3 linked regions of the Elephas maximus indicus genome follow. The protein of the gene in region 2 binds, or shares a complex with, the protein of the main gene of each other region. Links are inferred from orthologs where the notes say so. Each region holds a gene or a part of one and is shown on either strand. Other genes may lie near its edges. The genes, in order: METTL3, RBM15B and WTAP.

Region 1 (7,829 bases), on a different chromosome or scaffold from region 2:
CCAGAACGGTAAAAGAATTGCCATACTTTAAAAAAAAAAGCAGTAACTGAGTCATTTGTCTATTCAGGCAGTCCCCAGGTGACAAATGTCCTACTTAAGTACAATCTGTAGTTATGAACCAACACCTGTAAAGACTATTATATTAAAAATTTGAGTTACATACAATGGTTCGTAATAACAAATGGGCGCTACTTTTCGATATGCATCAAAACATTATCATTACTACTGCATTATCATGTTAAAGATGTTTTAATGTAAATGGAAAACCAAAAAAACAAATCCATTGTCACGGAGTCGATTCCGACCATAGCGACCCTACCGGACAGAGCAGAACTGCCCCACAAGGTTTCCAAGGAGCACCTCGTGGATTTGAACTGCTGACCTTTTGGTTAGGAGATGAACTCTTAACCACCACGCCACCAGGGTTTCCATGTATATGGAAGTGTTTCTTTAATGTTTTTATGCGTTGAAAGGTACACTATATACTATATGCTAAGACAAACATTTGACTAACTGACATTAGATACCAACCATACCTAACTGTTCTGACTTTCGTACAAACTCGACTTAAATACAGATTTAGGAGCAGAGCTCGTTCGTAACCTGGGGGCTGCCTGTAAAAGAGATGTAAGAGTCATATTTTCCATATAAAATTGAAGTGCGTAAAATAAAAAGTTCTAAGACAGCACTGAGCTTCTATTAAGGGTAATGGAAAAACTCGGGAATGGTAATGGTCAAACAACATGATGAACATATTTAACGACAGTCAACTATACATGTGAAGACCATTGAAATGGCAAATGCGTTGTTACCTATATATTTACCACACCAAACAAACAAACAAACAAAACAAAGACGGGAATGAAAGAATAAGAAAAAATAGAAAACTGGGCCTACAACAAGTCAAAGGAGTTGAAGTTTATAGATCAAGAAAAAAATTCTTGCTCTTGGGTAAATCAGTACCTACTCCAATGCCTAACTACTATTTATCCTCTGATCATAGGACTTGCACTCCTGCCTCTCCTCGCCCCTCCCTCTTACCTTCTCTTTAATTACCTAAGTCCTATATAGCCTTCAAAGCTGGAAATTCAAGTGCCAACTCCCCCACCATGTCCTTCACTGACTAAACCAGGTCTTGTTACTTCTCCCTTGGCTGTACTCATTCATTCACTTGGTGCTTTACATATATTATATTTCTGACTTTTTATAAGCATCCATCCTTTATCCGCAACTAAAATTTAAACTCCTTGAATGCAGGAAAAACGTCTTATTTTTGTCTAACTAGACTGGTGCACACTGTACTTTCTTGATGTTATTACTTATGAGAATCCTGCCAGAGGATCTTTCAGTTCCAGGTGCCAGAATATGAGCACATGGACCTAACATGCCTCTAGGCAAGATTTAGACAGATTCCCGCATACTAATAAACACTGGAACAAAACACCAGAGATAGAATGGATTCACTATGTTAGTACATCTTCATAAATGATTTACCTTAAATAGTTCAGTGCTTGTGCAGGGGTGGGAGATAGGGTGAAACTTGATAATCTTTTGATGTCCCTTCCAGGTTTATGACTGTGACACAGGGGACAACTAGAGGGTAGAAAGTTTAAAAACCAAAAACAAATGCTTTCAGGTTCTTGTCTGGGATGTAAATAACTGAAGCCCTGGTGGCCTAGTGTTTAAGAGCTAAAGATGCTAACCAAAAGGTCGGTAGTTTGAATCCACCAGCGGCTTCTTGGAAACGCCATGGAGGAGTCCTACTCTGTCCTATAGGGTCGCTAAGAGTCACAATCGACTACGGAAATGACTAAGACAGTGCCAGATCTCCCACTCATTCAGCAACCAAAAAACAACCCGCTGCCATGGAGCTGGTTTCGACTCATAGCTACCCTGTAGGACAGAGTAGAACTGCCCCAGAGGGTTTCATAGGCTGTAATCTTTACAGAAAAGAGCACTGGCTGCGCAGTGGTCAAAGCACTCATCCGCCAACCAAAAGGCTGGAGGTTCAAATCCACCAGCCTCTCTGCGGAACTAAGATCAGCAGTCTGCTTTTATAAGGATTACAGCCTTGGAAACCCGATGGGGCAGTTCTACTCTGCCATAAAGGGTCGCTATGACTCCGAATTGACTCACTGGCAAAGGGTTTGGTTTTCTCAGTAATCTTCACAGAAAGCAAACTGCCACATCTTTTTCCTGCGGTGGGTTCGAACAGCTTATCTTTCGGTTAGCAGCCCAGCGCTTAACCACTGTGCCTCCAGGGCTCCGGCTTATTTAGCAACACCGAGTGCCAACTTGGCGCGGGCCATGAACTGGGCACGGTAGATATAAAGTTCCTTGCTAGCAGTGTCGAGTCGCAAAGAAGTGACGACTACAGCGGGAAGAACAAAGTGCCAAGGAAACACCAGGAAACGGGGCTTGCTGGTCACGATTCGCGGGGTAGGGGCCTGAGAGGTATCCCAAAGGCGAAGTTATCGCAGATGAGAAGTCGACTGGATGGCAGAGGGTGGGGCTCGGGCGTCCGGGAAAAGGGAGCTGAAGGAACCAAGACTCGGGATAGGGAGCGACCGTGAACTACTTGCAGTAGGGCGAAGAGTCTGTGAGCCTGAGGGGAGGGACTTGTCAATGGACTAGGCGGGAAAGAAATGGCGGCTTGGGGAAGGGCGCCGATCTGGGAGCTGTCTTCTTCTTTAGGGGTCCCTCCCGCCCTCCCCGGCGGGGCATCGGCCCCGACAGCCCCGCGCCTCACCCAAGTGCCCCGAGTCCTGCTTCCGCCTCCGCTGCAACCTCTCCCTCAGCGAGTCCAGCTGCTTTTTGTGGGCCTGGATAGAGCTCCACGTGTCCGACATCCTAGTCTCCCAGCGCGGACGCGTCTCGAATCAGGCGCGGTGGACAAGCACCTCCCAGCCCTCTTTTCAGGAAATATTCTATTCCAACGCGGACACCCTAAGGCTCACCGGAAAGGGATTCCCGGAGCTGTGCAAGAAGAAAAAGCCACTTCCGGTTTCGCGCTCGCTTTGAAGCTGAAATTAAAGCCACCTTAGGTGTTGGCAGAGTGGCAGATACAGTGTATATACGTTCTTTGTGGGCGCTTTCTCAGGCTTCCGGGTAAGGTGAAGCCGCGGCTGCCATGTTGGTGGCTGGCAGAGCGACCATGTTGCTTATAGACGTGCATGCATCCATGTTGAATTTTAGATGAGTTCTGCGAGTTGACCTATGTTGATGACAGCTCTATTAGAATTGCACGTGCAATACAGAGTTTTAAAATGAAGAATCACTAGCCTTTTAACAGTTTAGTACTAACATGCCTTTTCCACTCAAAGTGTAGGTTTTTGTCTGCATACATTCATTTATAAAGTAATACCTCTCCCTCTCGTCCTCCATCTCTCTCGCTATCCCTGTATTCGCGCTTTTTGGGGTTGGAGGGGAAGGGCTTGCGGAGCAGAGATGTTATGAGGGGACTACAAATACATATTCTCACTCTTCTCATTTATACCAAATCTGTATCATGTGTAATAGGATTGGTGGCTAACTGAAAGGTTTGAGGTTCACATACACCCAGAGGCATCCTGGAAGAAAGGCTTGGCCATCTACTTCGAAAAATCAGCCACTGAAAACCCTATGGAGCTCAGTTCTACTCTGACACACATGGGGTCACCGTGAGTCTAAATTGACTAGATGGCAACTGGGTTCTGGGTTTAGGGGAGATTCTGAGTTTCTGATTACTTGTTTCTTATTCTGGGACCTGGTGGTTGCATGAGTGTGTTCAGTTTGTGAAAATTAATTGAATTGGACATTTTGGTACGTGCTTTTCTGTTTGCATCCAAAAAACCAAAAACCAAACCCAGTGCCGTCGAGTCGTTTCCGACTTATAGCGACCCTATAGGACAGAGTAGAACTGCCCCATAGAGTTTCCAAGGAGCACCTGGCAGATTCGAACTGTCGACCCTTTGGTTAGCAGCCTTAGCTCTTAACCACTATGCCACCAGGGTTTCCTCCGTTTGCTAGTAAACTTAAATGCAATTAAAAAAAAAGGGGGGGGGGTCTTCTGAATTGAAATATTTGTAAAATGCCTACATGATGCCAAACACTGTGTCTGAAAAATAGTTTGAAAAGCATCGCTCCTGTTTTCAAAGACTTTCTGGTTTAGTAAGGGAGTTAAGACTCAGCATAGGCAGCATGAGCAAAGGCTCTACAAGAGAAAAGTGATCGCAAAGAAAAGGGAGGACTCAAAGCTCAGATTACTGGGGAAATCATTAGAAAGAAGGTGGCATCAAGGTTCAGATTTGAACTGACAATAGGAGAGAATTCCAAGCCAAAGACGTGATAAAAACAGAAGTCTAGACTAGTGTTAGAAAACATGATGTATGTTCTGCTAATCCAGATTAGTTCAGTAGAACATTGAGATTTATATATAGGAATATTAAGAGGAAATGTAGGTTTCCAAATTGGAGGCCAGATTGCAGAAAACCCTGCAGTTTATTCAGAATACAATAGGGAACATTTAGAGTTTGTCAATAAGGAGTGCTTTAAAATAATCTTGTGTTCTTGATGGATTGAGGCAGGGAGGACAGAGAGTTTGGAGAGAGAGTGTTATGGACTGAATTGTGTCCCCTAAAATATATATTGAAGCCCTGCTTGGCTGTACCTATGGATGTGATCCTGCTTGGAAATAAGGTTTTCTTTTATTACGTTAATGAGATCATACCAGAGTAGGGTAGGTCCTAAATCTAATCATTTCTGAATTATAAAAAGAGCAGAGTAGACAAAGAAACACACACGGGGAAGATAGATGCCAAGGAACATCAAGGAATGTCAAGGAATGCTCGCAGACGCTAGAAACTAGGAGAGAGGCTCACAAAAGAAATCAACATGGCCAAGAGCTGATTTGCACTTTAGGCCTCCAGAACTGTGAAAAAATAAATGTTCTTTAAAGCTACCCACTTGTGGTATTTCTGTTATGGTAGCACTAGGTAACTAAGACACAGGGAAAATGGTTAGTAGCCTTTAGGACTAATTGCTTGATTATAAGACCTTCAACTTACTCAAAGGCTGGCTATGGGTAGCAACGGAAAGGAAGAGGTGAATATGAAGGAGGGCTATTGAGAAGATGTGTGTGTACTGGAATGTGAAGTCCTATCCATTTATATGGCAAGTATTTATTGAATGACTACTATGTGCTAGGTAATGTACAGATTAAGTAGTGATCAAAATATTTCCATCTCCTTTTCTGAATTTACTTAGTAGGGAACTGTCTTTTGAGGTGCATAACTTTGTGTCTGAGCAGTGAGGTAGAGGTCACAGAAGTAAATATGGGCTCCTATAAACATCTCTGGACATTTAATCCTCAGGTTTAGTTAATCCTGAAAGCGAAATACTCTTGTGAGAGTTGGCTGTTGTGAGATCATGCAAGATTACTCAAGCCGACTGCTCTACCCAGGGGTTTTGCTTCCTTTAATGACTTGGGGCTGGTAATTGTCTACAGGAAAGTTGACAAAGACCTCTTTTTGCTTTTGTTCTTTCATTGGGTGTATCCTTGCATATTTTTTGTGCTCCTATGTTAGACACGTATTATTACTAAAGTGAGGTAATCCCAACTGTTAATTGTTCACAAAACTGAATTCCTTACTTGTTAGATCACTTTCTTTCAAGGCTGTTAACACATGTGAAATGAAATATATAGAAAATATATAGCGGTTAGGTTTAGTCTTGGGGGAAAGAGAACTGGATATGGCCTCACAGAAGATGAAGGGGGTTGATTCACTTTAAAAACAGGATTCCAGAAGTTAACTCCCAAACATTATAAGCACTTTTTGTCTAGGAAAGGGAGGATTTTTCCTGGGAGAGACTCAATTTCTTGTAGAATTTGGGATACCTAGGCCTAAATTGTCTCCTCTTACCTGCAAAAGAAGCCAAAGAAGTAGGACAGGTACTCCAAATTGAGGTCAACCAAATCAAGGGCAGCTACCAGAAGTCTTTGTTTACACACTCATTGAGTAAATTATTACCCCAGTGGCACACTGCTAACCGAAAGGTCAGGGTACAAACCCACCAGCTGCTCCTTGGAGAAAGATGTCGCAGTTTGCTTCCGTAAACACTTATATAGCCTTGGAAACCCTATGGGGCAGTTCTACTCTGTCCTATAGGGTCACTATGAGTCAGAATCTACTCACAGCAGTGGGTATTACCACAGTAAATTAGGCAAATTTTAGGAGCCTAGGAGGGTCACTTAGCATTATCTGCTTACAGAGGGACTCTTTATAGACTCCTTATGATCAGTTTTCCACTCTAAAGAAAGCCAGGTGTTTGTGTGCTCACCAGTAGCCCACCCACTTACAATCCCGTGCAATGTTGAGAGAAAGGAGGGAACCTCACCCAGACCTCTTCTAGTCAGAGTGGAAGCTTGGTTGTGACCATATAAGTACTACATGCATTGCACTTCTTACCTTTTTCTCATATATGTTACGGTAGATTGTTTCCAAAGCTAGCCACATAATGCCTCCCATTCCTTAAGCAGTGAGACTTTGCCATGCTTCCCATCAGGAGTTAAAGCTTAGTTCCCCTCCTTTTGAATCTGAAATGGCATTGTGACTAGCCTTGGCCAACAAACTGGCAGAAGTGATATTCCCTGAGCTCCAGAGCCTGGGCCTTAAGAGGCATTTCAGCTTCCGCTTTTCCCTCTTGTAGCCCTAACTCTTCCCGGGAGTCCAGTTAGATAGACCTAATTAGTCCTGATAGATAGACCGCTTAAGGGATGCTGGAGGTTGACACAGCAAAAGAGAGAGGTTCCAGCATCCCAGCTGAGGGTCCAGAAGTGAGTGAGGCCATCTTTAATCTTCTAGCCCAAATTGCAGCTGCCTGAGTGAGCCCAGCCCTCACATGGAATGGAGACAAGCCAACCTAGCTGAGCCCTGTCCAGACAGCTCATGGAATCATAAGCAAATACATAATTATTGTTTAAGATACTAAATTTCGGGATGGTATGCTACACAGCATTGGATTACAGAAATGCCCACCCAAACCCACTGCCGTCAAGTCAATTCCAACTCAGTCAGAGTAGAACTGCCCCATAGAGTTTCCAGGGAGCACCTGGCAGATTTGAACTGTCGACTTCTTGGTTAGCAGCTGTAGCACTTAACCACCACACCATCAGGGTTTCCGAATACTACTGACCAAATACTACACTTCTATTGCTGTACTTTTTTTTTCCTTCTTCTTGTCCATACTGTTTACTATTTGATTGGCAGCAAAATTTCACTAGGATTAGTCAATCTACTATTATTAAGCTAAAGGTTAGAAAAGACAAAAAAATGTAAAACCAAGTCAAAGTTGAGTCTAACTGAAAGTAAAACTAGTTTCGTGTGTTTTGGGATCCTATCATCATTTAAAAAATATATTTTCTCTCCTTCTACACTGAGTTCCCCAAGGGACAGAAGTGTGTCTTATTTACCTTTATACCCAATAAACACCTGGTCTCCGAAGCAAAGCAAATCCTCAAAAATTGACTGAATGAGTGAAGAAGCTGTCTCTTGCTTCTTATAATAGTGATGCTTTTATTAATCCAGGTTGAAGTGGACTGTGTTTATTTCACATAAAGTAAGCGTTTTGCAAGCTGCATTTACATACTCATTCCAGTAGATTAATATACCTTCTAAAAAGATGACCTAATAAAGAGTAATTGACTGAGAAATGGTGGGGCTAGGGTAGGTTGCAAGACAGAAGAAATGAAAAGCTCTAAGAAGAATAAATCAAGGGCAAAGAGAGAAAAGAAACAGTAATAAAAGCAATGAAAAGAAGAAAAAGCAGGAGGACAGGCGAGGAAAAAGAAT
Region 2 (7,387 bases):
TCATAGCTCAAGGACGGCAGCCCGGAGGTTAGCGAGTCCACAGCCCTCTCGAGCGGAGGTCCTCCCGCAGAAGAAGGTCTCTTTCGGCCATGCAAGGAGGGCCCAGGTCACCCGGGCGTAAAGCAGGTGGAACCCTGAGGCTGGTGGGGAAATCCGGAAATGGCTCAGGTGTTTGATCCCCCCCCTCTGCCCCCCAGCTGCTACTCAAAGGCTGATTCCTCCGCTCACGTGCTTGTTTAAAAAAAAGGAACGAAGCCTATTGAGCCTTCCGTGAGTCTGGGCCCTGGGCGAGGAAATTCCCGAAGTTTTTAGGGCGAGGTTAGAGCCCAGGGCAGAGCCCAATTCAGCATGCACTGGGCGGCACAAAATCCCACTTCCGCCCGGAACGCCCGGTTGCCGGTAAGGCCACTGCCCCTGTCCAAAATGGCGGCTCATCCCACTTCCGCCGCCTCCGCCGCTGCTTCCTGCGGAAGACCCTGGTTCAATCAGCGGCGGACAACTGTCTTGGGCCTAGGGCGGGCGGCGCTGCCAACCAATGGGGAAGGGTAGCGTGGAGCCGACCGTCTGGGCTCCGAGGCCCTTGGGCCAATGGGAGCGCGGCGTGTGGGAGGGCGCGATGGCCACCCACCAATGGGGAGCCGCGGCGCGCGGCCGGGACCTGGAGGCGGTGCAGCGCAGCGCAGCGCAGCGCAGCGGGCGCGGTTAGTCGGGCAGCGGCGGCGGCAGTGGTGGCAACGAAGGCGGAGGATGTGGGCCACGCACGGGCTGGCGGTGGCGCTGGCTCTGAGCGTGCTGCCGGGCAGCGGGGCGCTGCGGCCCGGAGACTGCGAAGGTGCGGCGGGGTCGAGTCCGCGCGGCGTGTCCAGCCTAGCGGCGGCCCCGACACCAACAAGACCATTGAAGGGGCGGGGGCGGCCGATCCCTGCGAGGTCCACCCGAGGAGGGGCAGACACTCCCGGGCCTACAGAACATTGATTGGTCCGACGGCCAAAAGTTGGGACTAGATAGCCCTGAAAACTTGGCTTGAAATTCCAATAACGCTGGAGTTCTTGTCCTTCCCATCACTGGTCAGATGCTCTCGGGAGCGGCTACTCCCGAGTCGGGGCCCCGTGAGTTGGGGTCAGGAAGCTGCACTACGGGGTTCGGTGTTGTATTTGGAAATAAGATGCATCAAGATCGTTTTTCTTCTTGGCCTCCAGCCTGTCCGTTTATGAGGTCATAGATCGTTTGTGGGTCATTGGGATGGTGATCGTACCCCACATGCCCCAGGTGGATCAGGGAACCCCAGCAACTTCGAGCCGGACTCTGTCCACCTGAGAAAACTCGGTGATAGAAACACGAACCTCTAGTGATTCATCTCCGTGCCTCCCATTAGAATTGCTGACAGTTACTTGTTGGTGGATGGGGGTGCCCTTGGTGGTTGCTGAGCATCTCCCTTCCCTTTTTTTTTTCCAGTTTGCATTTCTTATCTGGGAAGATTTTACCAGGATCTGAAAAACAAAGATGTTGCATTTTCACCAGCCACTATTGAAAAAGAACTTATCAGTTTCTGCCGTGAAGCAAGAGGGAAAGAAAACCGATTGGTGAGTAGCTGGTGACCCTCCCAAGCTGGTCCTGGCCCCTGTTTAACCCTTGGCTTCACAGGCCTCTTGAGAAGGCCCCACCCACCTGTGTGCTAGGAGAGCTGTCTGTCAGAACACAGAACCCAAGCACTTTCTGAAGTGTATTCTGCCGTTGAGATATCTTCTCCTCTTAGTATTTACTGAGCACCCACTATGTGCTGGTCACTGAGATTACTGGGGGAGAGATGACAGTTGGACAGACAAACAATGACTGGGCTGGATGCCATGAAGAGAATGGACCCAGGTGGTACAGTGGAGGGGGTGGTACTGATTTAAACAGAGTGGTCAAGAAGTAGCTCTCTGAGGAAGGCTCATCATTGAAGTTGGGGAAGAGCATCTCAGGCAGAGGGAACAGTCATTGCCAGTGCCCAGAGGCCAGAATGGGCTTACCATGTGTGAGGATGGAAGGAGAAGGTAATGAGGTGTAAACAGGGTCAGCCAGGCCCAAACTGAGAGCAAGGGCCCCTAGTGAAGCAGTGGCTTTTGTAGCTTTATTTACTTATTTATTTTTGGGTAGCATGTGGTTTGTCTGTTAAAAAGTTTGAACCCTGGTGACTTTTAAGCTCATCCGGTGGCCATCAGGTCTGGGACCAAACAGGTGTTAAGAGTCTGGAGTTTATACTGGCTTGCATCTGAGTGCCAGTGCAGGCAGGCACCAGGAAATGAGGCCCTGGCAGAGAAGGAAAATGTTCTGGAGGAGATGGCTCTCATGTGACATCTCCTGAAGGCTGTTGTCCTTTCTTGCTGCAGTGTTACTACATAGGGGCAACGGATGATGCAGCCACCAAGATCATCAATGAGGTGTCTAAGCCCCTAGCCCACCACATCCCTGTGGAGAAGATCTGTGAGAAGCTCAAGAAGAAAGACAGCCAGATCTGCGAGCTGAAGTATGGTGAGTGCTTTCCCGGCCTTATTTAACAAACACTGCACAGCTTCTGCAGCCAGGTCTCGTTGAGTTACTTTGTAGTTGAGGGGGCACATCATAAACTAGAGCCATGGTGAGTGGGTTATACGGTATGGTAAACATGTAAACCAGCTGCCATCGAGTTGACCCGACTCATGGCAATCTCATGTGTGTCAGAGTAGAACTGCGTTCTAGGGTTTTCAGTGGCTTGTTTTTCAGAAGTAGATCACCAGGCCTTTCTTCCAGTGCACCTCTAGGTAGACTCAAACCTTCAGCCTTTCAGTTAGCAGCCGAGCGTGTTAACCGTTTGTACCACCATAAAAAAAAACATAGATGGTGCTAAATGCTGGGGGAGGGAGGTGATCTGTTCATCACAGCAGGATGTCAGTGAGGAGGTGACATTTCGGCAAAGCTCTGAAGGAGGTGTGGGATTAGCATGAGGCTAGTTAGCGGATCAAAGTGGGGTGACAGATGAGTGAGCAGGTCTGAAAGGATTTGGGCTTCAAGTCTGAGTGAAGTAGGGACCATTAGAGATTTTTGATCAGAGAAGGAACATGAGCTGAAGACCCATTGTTCTTGTCCACACAGGCATGGCAAGCCCAAGAGTGGGGGAACCACAGCATCTCTTGTTGAGTCAGTCTGGTTGCACAAACATAGCCAGGCCTGTGTTTGAGTATGAAAGAGTCAGAGCCAAGGATAGTTGTCCTCTTCTGTGACGGCGCCAACATATTTTATTATGACTTGAACGTCCATGGGTCTGTGTTTACCTGCTTGTGTCAGGGATGCCTGGTCCTGAGAGTCATCCTGGTAGAGGTCCATCTGGGTCGTGGACACAGCAGTCATGGAGAATAGCTCCTGCCTCAAGGGCCTAACCAGACTGATGTTGGGAAATCAGGGCTAGGAGAGCTACCTGCTCCATCATAGCTTGGTACTGCCATTCTGCAGAGACTTGATCTCTCCTGTGACTGTGAGAGGCACTTGGGGTGGGAGCCGTGCTCCTCCTGTAAGGACCGTGTAGCCTCCATCCCTGTCCCTGGCAACACTGCGTGTCTGGTGGACGCTGCGACATGAGGCCAGCCTTCCTGATGAAGGGGCCTGAGCCTCTTCTCTCAGGGGCAGTGGGCACTGACACACCTGTATGTGTCTGGGAATCTCTCTCCCCCTACAAACCAGGAGGGCCGCATGTTCTAAGGGATAGGTTGGCCTTGCAGGAATGACCTGACCTGGGACTACTGTGGGGTAGTGGCCACTCTCACCAGCCGGTCACTCTCCCTGCTCTCTCCTCCAGACAAGCAGATCGACCTGAGCACAGCGGACCTGAAGAAGCTCCGAGTTAAAGAGCTGAAAAAGATCCTGGACGACTGGGGGGAGACGTGCAAAGGCTGTGCAGAAAAGTCCGACTATATCCGGAAGATTAACGAACTAATGCCTAAATACGCCCCCAAGGCAGCCAGTTCACGGACTGATTTGTAGTCTGCCTGACCCCTGCTGCACTGGAGGGGAGAAAAAAACAGTTCCTCTGTCTCTTCCCAAGCAGCCTTTTTGTAATTTATTTTTTAATCGGGCTCCTGACAATGTCAGGTATGAAGCCTGGAGCTTTCCTGATGATGCTGGCTCGACAGCACCCCTGTGGGGGGATTCACTTCATTCTGTTGCTGGTTTACTCTAGGACTTGAAAGTGTGTCTGGGATTTTTTTATTAAAGGAAAAAAATTTCTAGTTCTTGGAGAATTAACGCGAATATTGAAGTAGGGCTTCACTCCATAATGAGGACCTCGCCAGCAGATGCTTTCCAGTTTGCCAAAAATTTTCTAATATATTCCCACCTGTTCCTCAACCACTAACCAGTGTTGGAAGCACCAAGGCAGGACATGGGCTGAGGCCAGCTGACATGTGTTGGGTCTTGAAGGACTGGAGGGTAGCAGGCCCCCTCCCAGCTAAATGGAGCCTGGGGAGGAGGCTGGGCTTGGCACCCCACCTCCCAGTGTTTTACCCAATGAGAGGGGCTGGAGGCTGCACAGCTGTTGCTGGGAGGGTGCGGGAGTGGGGAGGGGAGAAATGAGTGTGATGAACATAGGAGGGGGTTTGCATTGGGTTCAGTATGAGCAGGCTGGAGGGTACTTGGAGTTTGGTTTTCTCTGATGGTGACTTCGAACGCCGTCTATTCAGTACTGACATTCCTAAAGGTACTCTTGGGCTGGCCACGAACGTGCTTGTCCGGGTCTGTGGTCTGGTGCCAGTTCCAAGCCTCTGATGCCTAACTGGGATTTTGCAAGACCTGCGGAGATTGATTTGAACAGAGGCAGTGGGCAGCTGCCTTTTGCCTTGTTTAACAGTTGAGATTCTGAGGACTTGCCCTCATGGTGTCCCCTGGAGTATGGTTTTTTAGCTGCTGTCTGTGTGGGGTTGGCACTTAGGAAACCCAGCTGCCAGCATGAGCTTGGCTCAGTGGAGGCACCTCTGCTGCTGTAGAGAATGCCTGAAGAGAGAATAAGAAGCAGTGCTTTCCAAGAAATGAGGTCTTTGGTGTCTAAGTTCAGTTTGCTTGAAGGGTGCTTCTTACTGCTTGGCAGTACACCTCCCACATTTTGTAGCTCTGCAATGGCACATGTGAGAGGAAGGGAAAGTTAAGGCACTTCTCAGGGCCCAGATCCCCCTGTTTGGGGGAATTACATGGGCTGTTGAGGTCTGACTAGCACAGTAAGTGTCCCCAGCCCCCCAGAGGTGCTGGGAAAGTGTGGCTGTAGCTGGTGGACTTGTCTTAGGCCACCACCCCAGATCTGATGTGTGCCTGCAGCCTCCGTGTCCTCCAGGCCACACTGAATATGGGAACAGAAAACGGAGCCTCACAGGCCCCAGGGTTATTTGTGGAGAATGTTGGTGTCGCTCTTTTTGGAAGCAGGTATTAAGAGACTATGCACCACTAAAGGTGTCCTGCTCCTACCCCCATCCCCTACTTTCCCCATCAGCCACTCCAGAGGCTGCTTTCTGGTTGGGAAAGAGGGAAAGCCTGAAGTGCAAGTTTCCTCATACCACAGTTTCTGTGGCTGAGGCTGCGTCAGGTTCAGCGATAGCTCCAGCAACAATTCCTGGAGAATGAAAGCTTTCCCAATGGGCTTGGGCACAAGGGAAGGAAAAGAGGCTCTGCCCTACAAGGTGGACAGGAGGGCACGGGCCAGGTGAAGTCAGGACAGAAGGCTCTGCCAAGTGCTGGAACTCCCTGCAGGTTTGGCGAGGCTCCTGTTTTTAGGCTCAGGGTAGCCTTGCCTTTTTAGCTCTTTGTCTGCCGGGAGGCCCAAAGCAAAGGGTGGGGCCCAGTGACGCCAAAGAGTTTATTTCGATCAGTGAAACGAAGGTTTGTGGGTCTGTGGTTTCTATGCCTGAACTCAAGACCGGCCTTGCCTCCTGCAGCCACAGCCATGGGCCACATGACCATTCCTGAAAGCGCTGCAGGTGAACCTGAGTGCGCAGGATGTAGGCTGTGGGCTCCTTCTGGGTAAGGGTATGCGTCAGCCCTCGGGCTGTCAACCTGGACACCTGGGTGGGCAGAAGTCACCGTGACGGGGATTAGGGGCGGCCTTTTTTTCAAGCCTAGTCCCGGAATTCGGGACCACCACGTAAAGAGTCTGCTAGGTCAAGGCCCCGGAATCCAGCACCCACGGAGGCTGCCACTCATGCTCCAATCAGCGCCGGCGACAGGAGACCAGACCCGGCGCGACATGTGAGGCCGACGTCCGGCCGGATTCTCTGGGACTCAAGGCGGAGCGAGTCAGCCCGACTGTCTCCACGGCTCTGATCGCTCTAGGTAGCCCCAGTCTCGGCCGCGTGGTGGCGCCAGAGCGCGCTCCTGGACCCCGCTTACCCACTGGCCGCGGGGGTCACGTGGTACAGACGACGTCGCCTGATGACGCACGCCCGGCGCGGCTTCCTCCCCGCCCGCCATGAGGTCACGTGACGCTGCCGGCGCGGCCTGATAACGCAACGTCCAGCCCCTCGGTGCCTCTCCCGCCCCGCCCCGCCGCCACCGCCGCAGCGAGTCCTTTTGTCCAAGATGGCGGCGCCGGGGGCGCTTCCTCCTCAGCCTCCGCCGCCGCCGCTGTGAAGGGGCTGCGGGCCGCCCGCCCGCCTGCAGCGCCAGCGCCATGAAGCGGCAGAGCGAGCGAGACTCGAGCCCGAGCGGGCGCGGCTCGTCATCGTCGGCCAAGCGACCGCGGGAGCGCGAGCGGGAAGCGGAGGCGGGCGGGCGGCGGGCGGCGCACAAGGCCTCGGGCGGCGCCAAGCACCCCGTTCCGGCGCGGGCCCGCGACAAGCCCCGCGGCAGCGGCGGCGGAGGGGGCGGACATCGCGACGGCCGCGGCGCGGGGGACGTGAATCACCGTGCGAGCAGCGGCCGCTCCTCCAGCTCGGGCGCCGGCGGCGGGGGGCGCGGCGGCAAGGCCTCCGGGGACCCGGGAGCCTCGGGCGCGTCACCCCGCGCGTCCCCGCTGCCACCGCCTCCGCCACCGCCTGGAGCGGAGCCTGCGGGCCCCGGCTCGTCGGCGGCCGCGCCCGAGTACAAGACGCTACTCATCAGCAGCCTGAGTCCCGCGCTGCCCGCCGAGCACCTCGAGGACCGGCTCTTCCATCAGTTCAAGCGCTTCGGCGAGATCAGCCTGCGCCTGTCGCACACGCCCGAGCTGGGCCGTGTGGCTTACGTGAACTTCCGGCACCCACAGGACGCCCGCGAGGCCCGCCAGCACGCCCTGGCCCGCCAGTTGCTGCTCTACGACCGCCCGCTCAAGGTGGAGCCCGTGTACCTTCGCGGCGGCGGCGGTGGGAGCAGCCGGCGAAGCAGCAGCAGCAGCGCCGCTGCCTCCACGCCG
Region 3 (7,546 bases), on a different chromosome or scaffold from region 2:
GACCAGTTAAGTCTGGTCTTTTTTTTGAGTTAGAATTTTGTTCTACATTTTTCTCCAGCACTGTCCAAGACCCTCTACGGTGACCCCTGTCAGAGCAGTCAGTGGTGGTAGCCGGGCACCATTAGGTCGTGCTGGGCTCAGTCTGGTGGAGGCTGTGGTAGTTGTGGTCCATTAATCCTTTGGACAAATCTTTCCCTGTGTCTTTGGTTTTCTTCATTCTCCCTTGCTCCGAGACCAGTGGAGTATCTTAGCCGGCCACTCGCAAGTTTTTAAGACCCCAGACGCTCCTCACCAAAGTAGAATGTAGAACATTTTCCTTGTAAATTATGCTATGCCAATTGAGCATTGTTCCCCGAGACCACGGTCCCCACAACCTCAGCCCAGTCATTCGGTCCCTCAGGGAGTTTGGATCTATCTATGGAGCTTCCATGACCTTTAGGCTGAAATCTTTATGGGAGTATTTTGCCAGGTCTTTTCTCCTGCGGAGTAGCTGGTGGGTTTGAACTGCAGACATTTTGGTTAGCAGCTGAGTGCTTAACTCAGGACTTTCAACCGGTTCGTTCTGGTTCACCTCCCTCCTGGGAATTTGCATTTCTAACAAGTTTCCAGGCAGTGGCAGTGCTGCTGGTTAGGGACCAATTCTGAGCACCATACATGAGAATTTATCATACATGAGAATCACCTGGGGACCCTGTTAAACTAGATTGTGATTCAGTCTGTCTGGGGTGGAAATGCAAATTCTGAGCAGGGGTTCAAATCTGAAGGAAGCTGTTCAAAGCCCTGGCTTAACCATTGCACCACCAGAGTTCCTTCCTCCTATCACCCAGTGCCCAGTGCCCTCGACTTACACTAAATTTTATCACATGGTTCCGGTGATGGCCACTAGATGGCTCCACTATACAAGTGTACTTTCCTCTTTATAGTCAAAGGAGTAACCTGTGGGGCAATACTTGGGCGCAACTTGGATATTCTATTTCCCAGCCATTTTTCACCAAAATTTTGATCCATTGGTAATCCTTGCCTAAATCAAATATTTCATTGAGGGCTGCATAATGGTTATTTTCTAATTATATCATTTGTTCTACATTTATTAGCTGGCATCCTATTGTAAAGGGTTTTTTTTCTCATCCACTGGGGATGAACCTAGAGCTTTGAGCCAGTTCCTTCTGGTTCGAACTCCTGCTGAGAACTGCATTTTTAACAAGTTCCCAGATGATGCTAATACTACTGGTTAGAGACAAAAAAAAAAAAAAAACCCATTGCCGTTGAGTTGATTCCGACTCATAGCAACCCTACAGAACAGAGTAGAACTGCTCCATAGTTTCCAAGGAACGCCTAGTGGATTTGAACTGTTGAACCTTTTGGTTAGCAGCCGTAGTTCTTAACCACTACACAACCAGACTTTCCACTAGTAGAACAGTGACTCCCAAATTTTATCATATATAAGAATCACCTGGGGAGCTTGTTAAAGTGTAGATTGTGATTCAGCATATCTGGGGTGGCAAAGGAATTTGCAGCAGGTGTTCAAACCGGTTGAACTAGTTCAAAGCACTGCATGAACCACAGATCTCCAGGTGTTTTAGTTACCTAGTGCTGCTAAAAAATTCCGACTCATGGTGACCCTGTACTGCTGCTACAACAGAAATGTCACAAGTGGATGCCTTTAACAAACAAATTAATTTTCTCACAGTTTAGAAGGGTAGAAGTCTGAATTCAGAATGCTGGCTTTAGGGAGGCTTTCTCTCTCTGCCGGTGCTGGAGGAAGGTCCTGGTCTCTTCTGAGCTTCTGTTCCTAGGCAATCTTCATGTGGCTTGGCATCTCTCTCCCCCCATCTCTGCTGCTCACTTGCTTAATTTCTTTTATATCGCAAACGAGATTGACTCAAGGCACACCTGCCTGAAACAGTCTCAGTTTTAGCATGGAAAGTCCAGCCTCACAGGAAAATCTTTAGTCCTGGGCAAACAGGGACAGCTGGTCACCTGAGTACTTCTAGCCTCTTTCAGTGTACAGAACTAGAAATTTTATTTTTTTAATCATGTGTTCAAATTGATATTTCCAATTTAACATTACGGGACTTTTCTGAACTTTTGACATTGTATCTTTTTTTTCTTGTACTGAAAAAAACCCACCGCCCTGGAGTCAATTTGGACTCATAGTGACCCTATAGGACAGAGTAGAACTGTCCCATAGAGTTTCCAAGGAATGCCTGGCAGATTTAAAGTGCTGAGCTCTTGGTTAGCAGCCATAGTACTTAACCACTACACCACCAGGGTTTCCTCTTGTACTCAAAGTCTTTTTATATAACATTTTATGTTATCACACAACACACAGTTTCAAAGGCACAGTAACAAAATTACAACTACAAACCACTGAGTGAAGCTGAAGATTCCCTTTGCTGTTCTTTTTCACTCTTAGAATATATCCCAGCAAAGACATACTGTGGGAATGCTATGGTCAAAAGTCCTGGGGGGGGGGGGAATCCTTTTCTCTTTGTAACAGTTACCACCAATTTGAAGTTAGGTTCATTTGTTTCAACTAGCTTTCAATTTGGGGGTTTACTTTGTTTCCTGTTTTACTTTTTAACTATGTAAAAATGTTAGAAGTTCAAAGTCAAGAGATGTCTTGCCTCTATCTCTAATCCCTTTACTTCCTACCTCCCCCACCCTCTATAGATAACTTTTTGTTAGTTTCTAGGGTCTCTTTTCAATTTTTTTTTCCTGCAAAATAAAAATGTGTATGTGTGTGTACAAATGCCAGCCAGTTTCCTATTAATGGACACTCAGGTTATTTCCAAACTTTAGCTATGATAAATAGCACTGCGGTGAATGAAACCTAAACCAAACCTGTTGCCTGGGAGTGGATTTAGACTCATGGTGACCTGACACGTTACTGAGCAGAACTGCTCCATAGCATTTTCTTGCCTGTAATCTTAACGAAAATAGATTGCTAAGCCTTTCTTCTGCAGTACTGTTTGGTGGGTCTGAACCACTAACCTTCAGTAGTCCAGCACCAACAATTTGTTGTTTTTATTGGCGGAGATGTATCTTCAAAATAGTCCCTGGGTGTTGTAAAAGGTTAATGCACTCAGCTGCTAATAGAAAGGTTGGAAGTTTATGCCCACCCAGAGGCTCCTGGGGAAAAGGGTGTGGCGATTTAGTTCCGAAAAATCAGCCACTGAGAAAGAACCCTGTGGACCACAGTTCTACTCTGACACACATGGGGTCACCCTGAGTCACAGTGGAGACCACGGCAACTGGACTGGGATCTTCAGGATAACTTTAGGGTTAGAAGTGGAATTGCAATAAGGATAAATGTACATGTACTTCTGGTACTCCACAAAACATGAATCATTTTCCATTCCCAGTTTCTCCACAGACTTGTAACTTTAAGGCATGTGACTTCATGTGCATTTTTATACATGAGGCTGAGCATCCTTTCATGTTTAAAGACCATGGCTGTTCTTTTTCTATGAACTGCCTGTTCATGTCTTTACCCGTTTTTCATTCAGGACTTTGGTCTTTTTCTTTTGTTTTTAAGAGTTCCTGTAATGTAGTTTGAAAATATACTCTCCAGTCTGATCTGATCTGCTGGGAATATACCATGACTCCTTTAACTATCTAGGGTGTACTTTAAACTTAGCCTCATAAGACACTTCATTCCAGGACACCTTCTTCGGGGATCAAGAGTTTTGGTAGAGCCAGCTATGAGCACACCAATCAAAAGAACTGCCTGACCAGTCTTGTGTTTGACTATTTCAAATCTTCCAGGTAACCACCGTTCTAACTAAATAGGCCAGACGCTTAAGGAATATATTTACATTACAATACTTATTTCCTCGGATGCACTAAAACCTCACAGGGCTCGCCTTGCCCTCGTTTCTGAGCTAGCAAGCTGCCCCCAAAGCTGCTGACACCCGCAACAACCTCCGTCGGCTACAGAACAATAGCTCCTCGGCCTCTCCCCCAGGGATGTCAAGGCGGGGACGAACCAAACGGCCACGCGGCTGCATTACACGATGAGAGAAGGGCATCGGTCTCTTACGGCCTCAAAACAGAGCGTGAAGTTTAGCGGTGCCGATTTCCCTGCCGGCGCTCACACAGCTGTCCGCCGGTAGCCTCCCTCCTGAGCCCACACCTGGCCGCTAGCTCGCGGAAGCGTCCCCAAGCGGCGCTGACACCCAAGCCGCGCTGACACCCAAGCGGCCAATCACCGCGCCGCCGGCGCCAGATCCCTCCGCGGAGCTACGCCGCACCCGCAGGTGGCAGCGGTGAGCGCGTCCGCCGCCGCCGCCGCGACCCCCGCCGCCCTTCCCGTGATGCTCCGCGGCTGACCCCCAGCCCCCGCCGCGCCGGCTCCCTCCCCTCCCCGCCCGGACTCCGGCGGCCGCGGGACACCTGATAGAGCCGGACGGGCCGCGAGGGAGAGCTCTGCCGTCGGCGCCTCCAGGCCCAGACTCCGCCGGGGCCGCCGCTCCTCGCCCTTCCTCCCGCCGGCGGGGCGGCGCGGCGCGGCGGGCGGGCGGGCGGGCGGACGGTGCAGCGGCGCCCGGGAGGCAACCTGTGGTGAGCGGCGCGGGCGAACATGGCGGCGCGCGGCCGATGGGGCGGGGCGGGGCGGGCGGCGGGGGCGGGGGCCGGCCGCGCTTCCTCCCTCAGCGCCATTTTGTGGCAGCGAGACCCGCAAATAAAGGGGCGCGCGGGCTGCGGCGGCGGAGGAGCGGCGGGGCCCGGCCGCCGCGGTGCGAGCGCGGCCTCGGCCTGGGCGACGGGCCGCCTGCGGAGGTAGGTGCGGCCGCGGGCGCTGCCGCCGAGCCCGAGGTCGGGGCGCCGGCCTCTCCGCCGCCCGGCTGGGGAGCGGCGCGCAGGCCGGGCAGCTCGGGGCCCGGCCGCTGGACGCCGGCCTCCCTTGGCGCTGCCCACTTGGCGCCCCGAGGCCATTTCCCCGTCCTCGCCGGGGCCCGGGCGCGCGGTCGGCACGGAGCCGGGGCCGCCCTGGTCGGACCTCCCGCCTCCCTCGGCCATTTGTGCCGGGGGAGAACCAGCCTTGGCTCTTGCAGCGCGCATCACGCAGTAGGTCGTGGCTGCAGGGACAAGGTCCGGGAGGGTTCCATTTTTAATGATTGGCATGCATGCTGGGTAAGGAAACAGTTCTTTATTGAATTATTTCGAGATTTTAAGTCTCACCTTGGATTCCCGGAAGAATGTTACTAAAGGATCTTTTTACCATTTTTTATGAGTCAGTGGGGAACATATAGCAGAAAAGCTTAAGTTCTTGTTTTGGTGATAAAGGAAGTTAATTGGATGTTTGATCCCAAAGGAATTATGTTACAATCCGAATTTACCGTGATTATAAAATTAAAAAACGATTATTTCGCCCGAGGTAGAAAAATATTTTGACTAGCATGTTATAATCTCGAGATGTTTTAATACCTGTTTTATTGTTTTCCGTGCTTTAGAATTTAGTTAATTGCATTGCTGAGGAAGCCACTGGTCTATCACCCCCATTAAACTAGGTGCGAAAGTCTTTTTAGGATTGCTAAATTTCATTTATTTAATCGTGTTATTCACTAACATCTGATTAGGCAAGTTGGGGATAGAGATTGCAGCCCACAGCATGGCTTGCCGACAAAGTCGATGCTGAAATTTAAGGTTTGGGTAGGTGTGTTTCTAGAATGCTTTTGGATCTTGCCTTATCTTGAGCTGAAAGCTTAATGATTGGGATTTGCACACACACCTCAGTGGGGGGAGGGGAGCTTGAGTCCTTAAGGACGAAAGTACTAATGCTAGTGTGTCCCAGGCACTGCCGATTTTTACCTGGCTCATCTAATATTTTTTCATCTAATTTATAGAAATCCGTGGTATCTAGCTTTCCTAATTTTGAGTCATGTTTGCTCAAAATACTTCGGTGTTGTGTTGGTCAAAAATGAGTTGGTGTATATGTAGAAAACCTATGGTAATCTGATACTGAGATGAGTTGTAATAATTACATTTTTATAGCACATTACAGCTTTCAAAGTCCCTTACAGTCTTGCATGTATGTAGTATAGCATTTGTTTCAGAATATTGTTTACTTAGTAATCTTCACAATTTTTATAAGACCAAACCCAAACCCATTGCCATCAGGTCGATTTTGACTTGTCCAACTATGTATATTATTATCTTGGAGTCCTGGTGTCACAGTGGTTAAGAACTCAGCTGCTAACCAAAAGGTCGGCAGTTTGAATCCATCAGCCGCTCTTTGGAAACCCTGTGGGGCTGTTGTGCTCCACGCTGTAGGGGCGCTATGAGTGGAAATTGACGTGACAGCAGCAGGCTTGTTTTTGGTTTTTTATGGACCACCTTAAATTTTGTTTGTGGATTCTTTAGCAGAACAAAACCTACCTTTCTTAAATGGACGTTAAAGTTGCCTTTTATGTTTTTATTAGTATTTTTTTTTTTAGAAAAATCCCTTGTTTGCGTAGCATTTTTATGGCATTGCAAGTGTTGAGATTTGTAGCACTTTGTGTGGTAGGTAATATTTGTATCTTCGTTTTAGCTGATGTGGAAACCGTAGCCCAGAGAGGTAAGTGATTTGCTCCAGATCACATGGCTGATAGATACAAGAGTTAGTAAAAGATATCTTCCAGTTCCCAAGTGGTGTCCTTTCTACTACAGTGCCAAGCTCCTGCAGGACATTGGCTTTTTCTGTTCAGTTGTGATAAACTTCAGCCATCTACAGACTTCTTATTGAAGTTGCCTTGGCTGGTCTGCCTTTCTGTTGAGAGAGAAGAGCCAGGGAACTTTTGAGATCTGGGATGCGAGGCAGCCAGCCAACCAAAGCTGGACTCCCATCCTAAGCTGTTTCTTAGTGTTGAGGCATCAGGAGTAGATGGTGGTTCTGACATTCTACACTTGAGGTATATTATATCTGACTAAAATAACAAGCCTTTATGTAATTTTAAAACCATGTTTTAACGAATTATCTTCAGTTGCTCAAAGGTAGGTAAATTGGCTAGCTTTGATTTTTTTTCTGTTTTGCTTTTCTTTACCTCCATTTTCTCTACTTCAGCTAGCTAAATCTAATCATTATTGGGGATAGGCAGAGTGGGAGAGTTATCATCTTCATCGGTTACTTATTTTTTATCGTGGTAAACATATAGGTAACAAAACATTTGCCACTTCAACAGTCTTGGCATGTGCAGTTCAGCGACGTTAAATATGTCCGTTATGTTGTTCAGCCACCGCCATTAACCGCTCCATCAGTTACTAGGTCTTAAGAGGCAGAGTCCTAACCGCCGATTTATTAATGAATAGCTGTTTTAACCTGAGATAATCACCTAATAACTCAATCATTTTATCATCTGGAAAATGGAGGGTAACATTGATTTTGAAAAATTGTAATTGAGACTCATAAGCACTTCATTTTTCATTTCTATATTCTTCATTTTTTCCCTTCAAGATTGAACTCCAGATACCTGTTAGATTAATTTTATTTCATTTCAGTTATTCCATTTTTGTGATCTGAATTCTTTGTTAAAAAGTAAAGCTAGACACCTAGAAGATCCAT

The links.
Region 1: RBM15B (region 2) and METTL3 share a complex: the UniProt entries of both Homo sapiens proteins name them as parts of the WMM complex. The link is inferred for Elephas maximus indicus from reciprocal best matches to the Homo sapiens genes RBM15B and METTL3.
Region 3: RBM15B (region 2) and WTAP share a complex: the UniProt entries of both Homo sapiens proteins name them as parts of the WMM complex. The link is inferred for Elephas maximus indicus from reciprocal best matches to the Homo sapiens genes RBM15B and WTAP.

Annotation. Positions count from the first base shown.
Region 1 is NC_064828.1:31,865,288-31,873,116, forward strand, and holds the start of METTL3 (N6-adenosine-methyltransferase catalytic subunit), read right to left. Parts: upstream 3,013-7,829; 5' UTR 2,850-3,012; coding exon 2,750-2,849; intron 1-2,749. UniProt on the Homo sapiens protein: The METTL3-METTL14 heterodimer forms a N6-methyltransferase complex that methylates adenosine residues at the N(6) position of some RNAs and regulates various processes such as the circadian clock, differentiation of embryonic and hematopoietic stem cells, cortical neurogenesis, response to DNA damage, differentiation of T-cells and primary miRNA processing.
Region 2 is NC_064838.1:55,571,997-55,579,383, forward strand, and holds the start of RBM15B (putative RNA-binding protein 15B), read left to right. Parts: upstream 1-4,334; 5' UTR 4,335-6,667; coding exon 6,668-7,387. Other genes in the region: MANF (mesencephalic astrocyte-derived neurotrophic factor), read left to right, coding at 748-832, 1,456-1,583, 2,373-2,514, 3,815-3,999. UniProt on the Homo sapiens protein: RNA-binding protein that acts as a key regulator of N6-methyladenosine (m6A) methylation of RNAs, thereby regulating different processes, such as alternative splicing of mRNAs and X chromosome inactivation mediated by Xist RNA.
Region 3 is NC_064819.1:232,092,970-232,100,515, forward strand, and holds the start of WTAP (pre-mRNA-splicing regulator WTAP), read left to right. Parts: upstream 1-4,532; 5' UTR 4,533-4,563; intron 4,564-4,682; exon of another isoform or gene 4,683-4,782; intron 4,783-4,871; exon of another isoform or gene 4,872-7,546. UniProt on the Homo sapiens protein: Associated component of the WMM complex, a complex that mediates N6-methyladenosine (m6A) methylation of RNAs, a modification that plays a role in the efficiency of mRNA splicing and RNA processing.